Linked DNA regions of Kluyveromyces lactis. The protein of the gene in region 1 purifies or fractionates together with the protein of each later gene. This does not show direct contact. Links are inferred from orthologs where the notes say so. Each region holds a gene or a part of one and is shown on either strand. Other genes may lie near its edges.

Region 1 (3,164 bases):
TTCGAAATGGAAAAGAATAAAGCAGTAGCTTCTTGTCTAGGGAAAGTCTCACCATGCGACAATAGTTCCAACAAGCTTGTGATCAGGGTACGGCACAGTTTAGGATTCACAGGAGATTCATTGAACCGATTCAAACAATCCTGATAGATCGCCATTTTGTCTGGCAAGGACCCACTGTGTGGGTCCTCAGACTTCTTATAAGTTTGTGCAGACATGCAATTGGCAGTGCTAGGATACCTTCAAATGACGTACTAACCTTTAGTAGCCAATTTTGAGCCTATTAACCTCGTGTTTTATCCAATTCTTTTTGCCGTGTGGTATGGTATATATTTATATTCATAATGTTTTCAGTTTGCAAATCGGTAGAAGTCCTTTGGAATGAAAAAAAAAGTGAAGCGGGTGTGTGAAAGTGAGGGTAACACTTGTTTTTTAATTATGATATATATGTATATATATATATATATATGGATATGGAGATATATATGATATAGCAGGCAAGATCACTGCTGCTGTTCATCTAGAGTCAGGAGTAGTTGTGCAAGACATCTCTTGGTACCTACATCGTCCTGTAGTGCTTCATTGAAGGTGTTATCTCTTAGTTGTTGCGGCAAAACTTGTTTCAACAATCTTCTGGCTTCTAAATTATCCGATAATCTTAGGTAGCATCTTACAACATGTTTCAATAATCTTCCCGGCACCTGTTGTTGGGACATGTGCTTAAACATAGTTGCCAAAACTTGTGACACCGCGTAGAACCGTTCTGGGGTCGCGCATACGAACTGGAGTCCGTTATCGTCTAATAATATTTTCTGTAAGATGAAGATAGCGACGATCTTCGAAAGTTCTGAAGAGTTTTCCATGATTCTTAAACATAATGGGATAATATCTGTCCTTAGAAGGAAACTGATCACTTCTGCAGAATCGTTTTTCACTAGAGCACCGATGACACCTAGTGAAGTTAGCCTTAAATATTCAAAAGTTCTTTGGTTTGATGTCGTAGATAAGAATGGGAAAAGGAACAACGGGATGTGAGCCTGTAAGAATTGAGGCCTGATATCTGGGTGTGATGCGACACATTGTAAGAGCACCAAAGCGTTGCATACGCGGTTTGATAACTGGTTTGATAATGCAGGAGGTGAAAGAAGCGGATAAATTGAAATTATTTCCTTTAGCAACGACGTCATCACACCGAAACTGGACCACAGCACGATAGCCAAATCCTCATACTGTTCACGTTTCTTACCTAGTTCTAGAAGCGCTTGTTCTTTGCTTGGCCCGTAAGTGAGCTGGCATATCCAATGGTAGACATTTGGATCATCTAGCGCATGTGTTATTCCTGCTGGTGTGGGACCTGGCCCAGGAACTGAACTTGGTCCTGCAGTTGGCCCTTGGCCCATCCCAGGCATCTGACCTGGAAGTTGGTTGTTTTCTACTACTGGGTGGGGCATTCCTTGTTGCAAACCAGGAGGCATATTTTGGGGTTGCTGTTGTTGCTGTTGGCCCTGGGTTTGATTTTGACCCTGAGCCTGCCCTTGAGGCTGGCCTTGACCCTGGCCTTGGTTATTTGGGAAGTAAGGTTTCAATTGTGGGAAATATTTCCTGCGGGTTTGTTCCGAGAACACATTCCCCTGAGCTTGAGCCGCTTGAGCCTGGGGTTGCTGTTGAAACATGGCAGATGATAATTGCGGGTGTTCTACCTGATGCACAAGCTGGATGATGTGTCCTTCCCTGAGACAATGCTGAATATTGCCTATTCTACATACCATATATATACAGAGATGCGAATTATCAACACTTTTAAGTTGAAAAGATGTGCTAAGTTGTGGAAACTGAGGTTGTTATGAAATCCGGGTAATAAGACAACGAAAGTTTAAACACAAAACAAAACACGCCCAGACATTGTTCAATATGACGAAACACTGAATAAAAGAAGAAGCATATTAATTATTAAGTATTAGACAATATATAAAGATGTATATTAAGTTGGTGATAGTAGGAATAATAATAGAGGAGAATGGGGTTAAGATTATAATTTGGAATGTTAGAATTACTTTAATAGTTGATTAAAAATAAAATAAAAAAAGCGGAAGCTTTTTTTGTTTTTATTTTAACTTTAGTTAAACAACTTCTTCAACTTACCCAACCATTTCTTGGAAAAAGATTGAGATTCCTTCTTGACATCTTCAGCTTTGGCTTGAGCTTGTTCTTGAGTTTCCTCAGCCTTAGCTTGAGCTTGTTCTTGAGTCTCTTCAGCTTGTTGTTGAGCTTCTTGAGCAGTTTCCTCAGCATTTTGTTGAACTTCTTCAACCTTATCTTGGATAGCTTCTCTTTGTTCTTCGATCTTGTCAGACATTGTTAACTGTATGTGTTACTTAGTTGTTGTTTCTTGCTGTTTTAAAATATGTCAGACAGAACAATTAAAATTATCCCAAAAACAACCGCCAATGGTATGGGAAAAGGCATCGCATCTTAAACTTTGTTTTCCTCTATTTATATGTGTGAAACTGGGAGTCCGGTATTAGAGCGAGGGCAAGGGATCTCAGGGATCATCCCAGCACCGAGACACGGACATTCACTCGGACATGGAAGTGGTATGACATTACATTACACGGTCCAGAGGGCTAATCCTAAAGTAGCGTAGACGTTTCCTACTTTTAGAACGCGCCCTCCGCTGCTACTGCATTTTAAGTGAATATGCGGTCCAAATTGTTGTTTTTGATTTTCATTTGATTGATGCGTTTATGGGTCTATGGGTGTATCGATGAGCTAGAATTATTTCGGTTCAAAAGACAAAACGGGGGCGGGCGCGGTTCTGTGTCCCAGACATGCTCTAAGACATAGCCCCCTTTGCATTCTGGGTGTCCTGTTGTCGAGTTTTTTCCACAACGTTCCATGGGAAAGGGCAAGCGAAGGGAAGAAAAAAAAATTTTTTTTCTTACTACAATGGGAAGTTGATTTCCCATTGTAAGGTGTGCGGCATTACCCGGGGATTGTCTCGTGTGGAAGACATTCGCCCTCGGACAATTACTGGAAGTGGCAATAACGACGCGGATAGCGGTGTTCCCGGTTGGCGCTATATAACACGCAGCTTTGAGGGTTGTTTACGTCACGTGATGGTGTACCATCACGTGATACTCTTTTTCTTATATTTTGTATGGAACGGA
Region 2 (4,142 bases), about 810 kb from region 1:
CTTGTTTGGTATCCGTGGATTATAACGCCACGTCCCGTTCACGCCCCCAGATAAGATCCCTCCGGTCCCGTTGGGACCGGCCATGAATGGATGTTCTGGTTCGGATGCGAAAGCTGCCTTAGACTTTAGTTTACCTCCCCCATTCTTCTCCCTTTCCACTTCTAGTTCCTTCACTTTCGCTTGGAATAGCGGGTTATCCCTCAGCGGAGACACAATAGGCCTGTATCCGCTGAACAAAATGTCAGCCGTGAGTTCTTGTGGCGCAAGAAACCTTGTCGTTGGCACGCGAGGAAGCTGTCTATACATTTGTGTGGCTTTGGACTTTGGAAATGGCATTTTCCTATGGTTGTATTATACTTTTTCGATGCTTTGATGCTTTCAACTAGATAGTAAAACCTGTTTAGATTCTTATTTGTCCGACAGTACGTTATCAGACCTTGCTTTTAAATAGTCTGACAAGAAAACACGATATTTCCGATAAACGATTTAATCCCCTGTTTCCTCTGAAAATATTAATCCACCGAGCTTTAGGAAAATCACGTAATTTCACATACTTAAATACTTAAAGCAACTAAGTAATCAATTTCGAGACGATAATCCAAGCGTTAAACCCTTGAACTATATATACTCATTTTATATATGTCAGATCAAAGGATGATGAAACCGCATATGTCATACGTTGCTCACCGAGTCAATCCGACTCGTTTTCACACTATGTCACTATGTGTCTAAATAAGACTTCACACACCCCTGGTTTTTCTTGTGTAAGACTCAAACATTCTGGGGGAAATAGCGGGCAAACCTTCGGGTACCACGCGTGTTTCTAGCTCAGTTTATGGGTGAGAATTGAGATTAGCCAAATTCTGAAAAACTAAGTAAAGAAATGCAAAAACCGGCTAACGGTATATGCAGTGTTAGCTGGTGCTCTCGGCGATATCGGATCAAGGATTGGTATCTCGGGGCGGGTGTGTGGGTGTATTACAAATGTTTAAAGGAATGTGATATTCACGTGAATATCACGTTACTGAACTTTTTTGGAGGAACCCATCTTTTTTTTTTTTTTGAAAAACACATTTACAGATATCAAATGTTATAATACTATTATAGTTTATGTTCTAACATGAGATGAGGTGGGATGAGAGATCGAATGAAATGAAGCTGGGTGTACTTTTAGAGGATTGAGCTGGACTTAACTGAGTCAGTGAAGAGGAACGAACGGAAGAGCTGCTACTGCTTACCCTGGTATCGGTCGTTTGTTTTGTTTTAAGACTCACTCTTCTGGACTATAGAGAAAACCCTTTTCTCTAGCGCCGTGTAATTTGCATACGCATTCCAATTTACCATGCTACAGGAAAAGAGTTCTGTTCAGCGATTATTTTTGGCCGATTCGGATGTTGATGAGAGCGTACTGTTAGAAAAACTCGTCATTGCTCTTTTTACCACGGTTCCTGGACAAGCGGTTGTCACACAATTGATTAATGATGCCAAACGAACAAATGACGTTGATGGGGTTGAGTGTCTGATACGAATGAACGATCCCTACTGGGTGGCACTTTTCGGTACTTGGGCAACTGATAAGCATATTTTGTCATTATTTCTAGGGTGGGTTTTAAGGAATGAAACGGATCATATCGATTTAGAGAGGTATTCAGATCAGTCGTTTAAAATGGCTATGAGATTTCTTCTCACGAATCAGGACCCCAAATTCACTGCACCACTATGGGATACATCCAACATTTTACTAGATTATTTGCATAATGCTAAGCCTTTGATAGAAAGTGTTCTTAAGAAACTTGACGGCTCGCAGTTTTTGCAATGTCTAATGAAATACAACCGATTGTATGAATTTAATGGTTCTTACCAATGGTTTACCCCTCCGCAGTCCACATCACATGCAGAATCTCCAACTACAATTTTAGAACGTAATTCTACTTTTTTATCTACTCTAGGGAATTTTGGTAATGATATGGTTCGTGCTCTCTCTCAGTTGAAAACTGGCGATATACGGCTGAATTCACTAGAATCATACGGAAAGAATTCTGGGCATAATAATCCACCGTTGTCAAAACAAGATGATCACAATCCGTTAAACTTGAATGGCAAATCTGATCGATTTAATTTGTTTTTTAAGCTTGGGTTACACAAAGAGCCTCATCCACTCCTTGCAGAGCAATTTAACTCACTTTGCTTATTTGCGGATCCCATGACTCAACCTCCTCCAAACGATTCTCATATAATTTCATTGGATTTATTGCATGACCTGTATCTAGGTTCTTTGACTGCTTATATTGTTAAACTGATACCCAATTACCAGAAAGTCTGGAAAATTCATTTGAGCGCAAATTTGGAAACTATTACATTGGCTATTTTGCAGATGTTGCAGATTTGGGATTATAGATCTCTAGACAATTTGAAAGATATCCAAGCAAGAAGCCCTGATGCATACCCTAAATACATGACATCGTGGATCCCATACGATCTTTCTCCGCCCGAAATGGAAATTCTTTATATGATTGCAGGATTATCTTTCTATTCGATGCACAAGATGCACTCTGATAAGCCGCCGAGGTTGAACCCATTCTTACCTATGATGCTTCGAGCATGGAGAGGTTTAAGTTCAGCATTAGTGTTAGGTTTGCAAATAGATAGGTTTGAGGAAATGCAGATGCTATATGGTACTCCAGTAATTGTTAGTGCAGTCATTCGTGGAGCTTCTGCGTTGCGCTCAATTATCGCAACGATTCTCAACGGTCATGTGGATGAGAAGTTGCACGATTTTAAACATCAACCTTTTGGTGGGTTCATGTCTCCTCATGGAAGGAAATTATGCAACGGGGCTCTTTACACATATGAAATGTATTATTTCGCAGCACTCCTACCATCAGGTATGGATTATGACGAAATTGTTGAATTATTGACTGATATACAAAAAGGAGATAGAATTGATGAAGATGTCAGATATATGTTTGATTATGAGTACTTTGATTACAATGATGCAGATACAAGTAAGCTAACAGATGGTAAGCTTATGTTTACATCTACTAAAAATGAACTCGAACAGAAAAATAGATTCAGAATGCTTAGGGGACTCTACAAGCGCTGCCTTTGCAAGTTTAGTGATGAAGACGACAATGATGACGATGATGACGATGACGATGATGATGACTATAATGGTGAAAAAAGCGTTGTTGGATTGGATGAGAATGGGCAGATCAATGAAGCTGAAACCCCTCAAACGTTTAGCGAAAGTAGCAATGCTGTTGCTTTCACATCTTTAATGACGCACAGAGACTCTCAAAATGATTTCGTTTCTCATCTTACAACAGGTTATGATAAAAACGGTGATGATTGGAGGGATATACCTCGTGGATTAAATCTATATTATATGGATGATTACCAATTTTTGTCTAAGTTGGACAAAGTTTCTCTCTTTGAGTTGTTGAGACGATTACCAGATAGAAACGTAACGTTTTCTCAAGCCTGTACGGTATTGAGAAGTATTGCAACATGTGTGAAGCTAGAACAAGAACAAATTCTACTGAAATTAATTACGGCCACTTCTGCAGAGGTAGATTTGAAAGTGCTTCCTTTTTCTACTGATGAAGTTATTACGGCAATTTTTAATGATGATGGAGGAATTATAAAGCCTTTTCCATTTTCAGGCTGCAATGATAGCTTAGGGTGGAAAATCTTCGATGAGTTGATGATGAGCCATGGGCACAGAAGGCTCTTAATCTATCACTTGACACATAGGTCGTACACTTTCTCGTCCATCCATTACGTGTATGAGTTGTTATTCGGTCTAAGAGGCAATCCTGCCAGGAGTTATGATTTAGAATCGACTAAGAACAAACAATTGGGGATTCTTAGCTGGACACCCACTGGAGAATTCGAAAGGGTTGCTGCAATTGAATTCTCTAGACAAGGAGTTATTGAACTTTCTGCAATTGAGAAAAAAATGTTGCTACAAGAATTTTTCGTGGGTGTGTCTTCAGGACTGCTAGGTGAGTATAATGATGCGGGTTTTGAAGCTTTTTCAATTAAAAATCCTTCAAAAGTGTATGTAGATGATTATGGTGAGGAGTTCTTCTCTGCAACATCGCGTAAGGCTGAGATGTCTGGGAAAGTAAAGATGGTGTGTT

Evidence for each region. Proteins that work in one complex are often made in the same cells at the same time.
Region 2: the proteins of CAF40 (region 1) and CAF130 purify together in Saccharomyces cerevisiae (affinity purification with mass spectrometry; 8 studies listed by BioGRID, with this or other methods). This does not show direct contact. The link is inferred for Kluyveromyces lactis from reciprocal best matches to the Saccharomyces cerevisiae genes CAF40 and CAF130.

What each region holds. Positions count from the first base shown.
Region 1 is NC_006041.1:1,171,558-1,174,721, reverse strand, and holds CAF40 (CCR4-NOT core subunit CAF40), read right to left. Parts: upstream 1,767-3,164; coding exon 501-1,766; downstream 1-500. Other genes in the region: SEC21 (coatomer subunit gamma), read right to left, coding at 1-215. UniProt on the Saccharomyces cerevisiae protein: Acts as a component of the CCR4-NOT core complex, which in the nucleus seems to be a general transcription factor, and in the cytoplasm the major mRNA deadenylase involved in mRNA turnover.
Region 2 is NC_006041.1:359,594-363,735, reverse strand, and holds the start of CAF130 (CCR4-NOT core subunit CAF130), read left to right. Parts: upstream 1-1,342; coding exon 1,343-4,142. Other genes in the region: SUE1 (Sue1p), read right to left, coding at 1-336. UniProt on the Saccharomyces cerevisiae protein: Acts as a component of the CCR4-NOT core complex, which in the nucleus seems to be a general transcription factor, and in the cytoplasm the major mRNA deadenylase involved in mRNA turnover.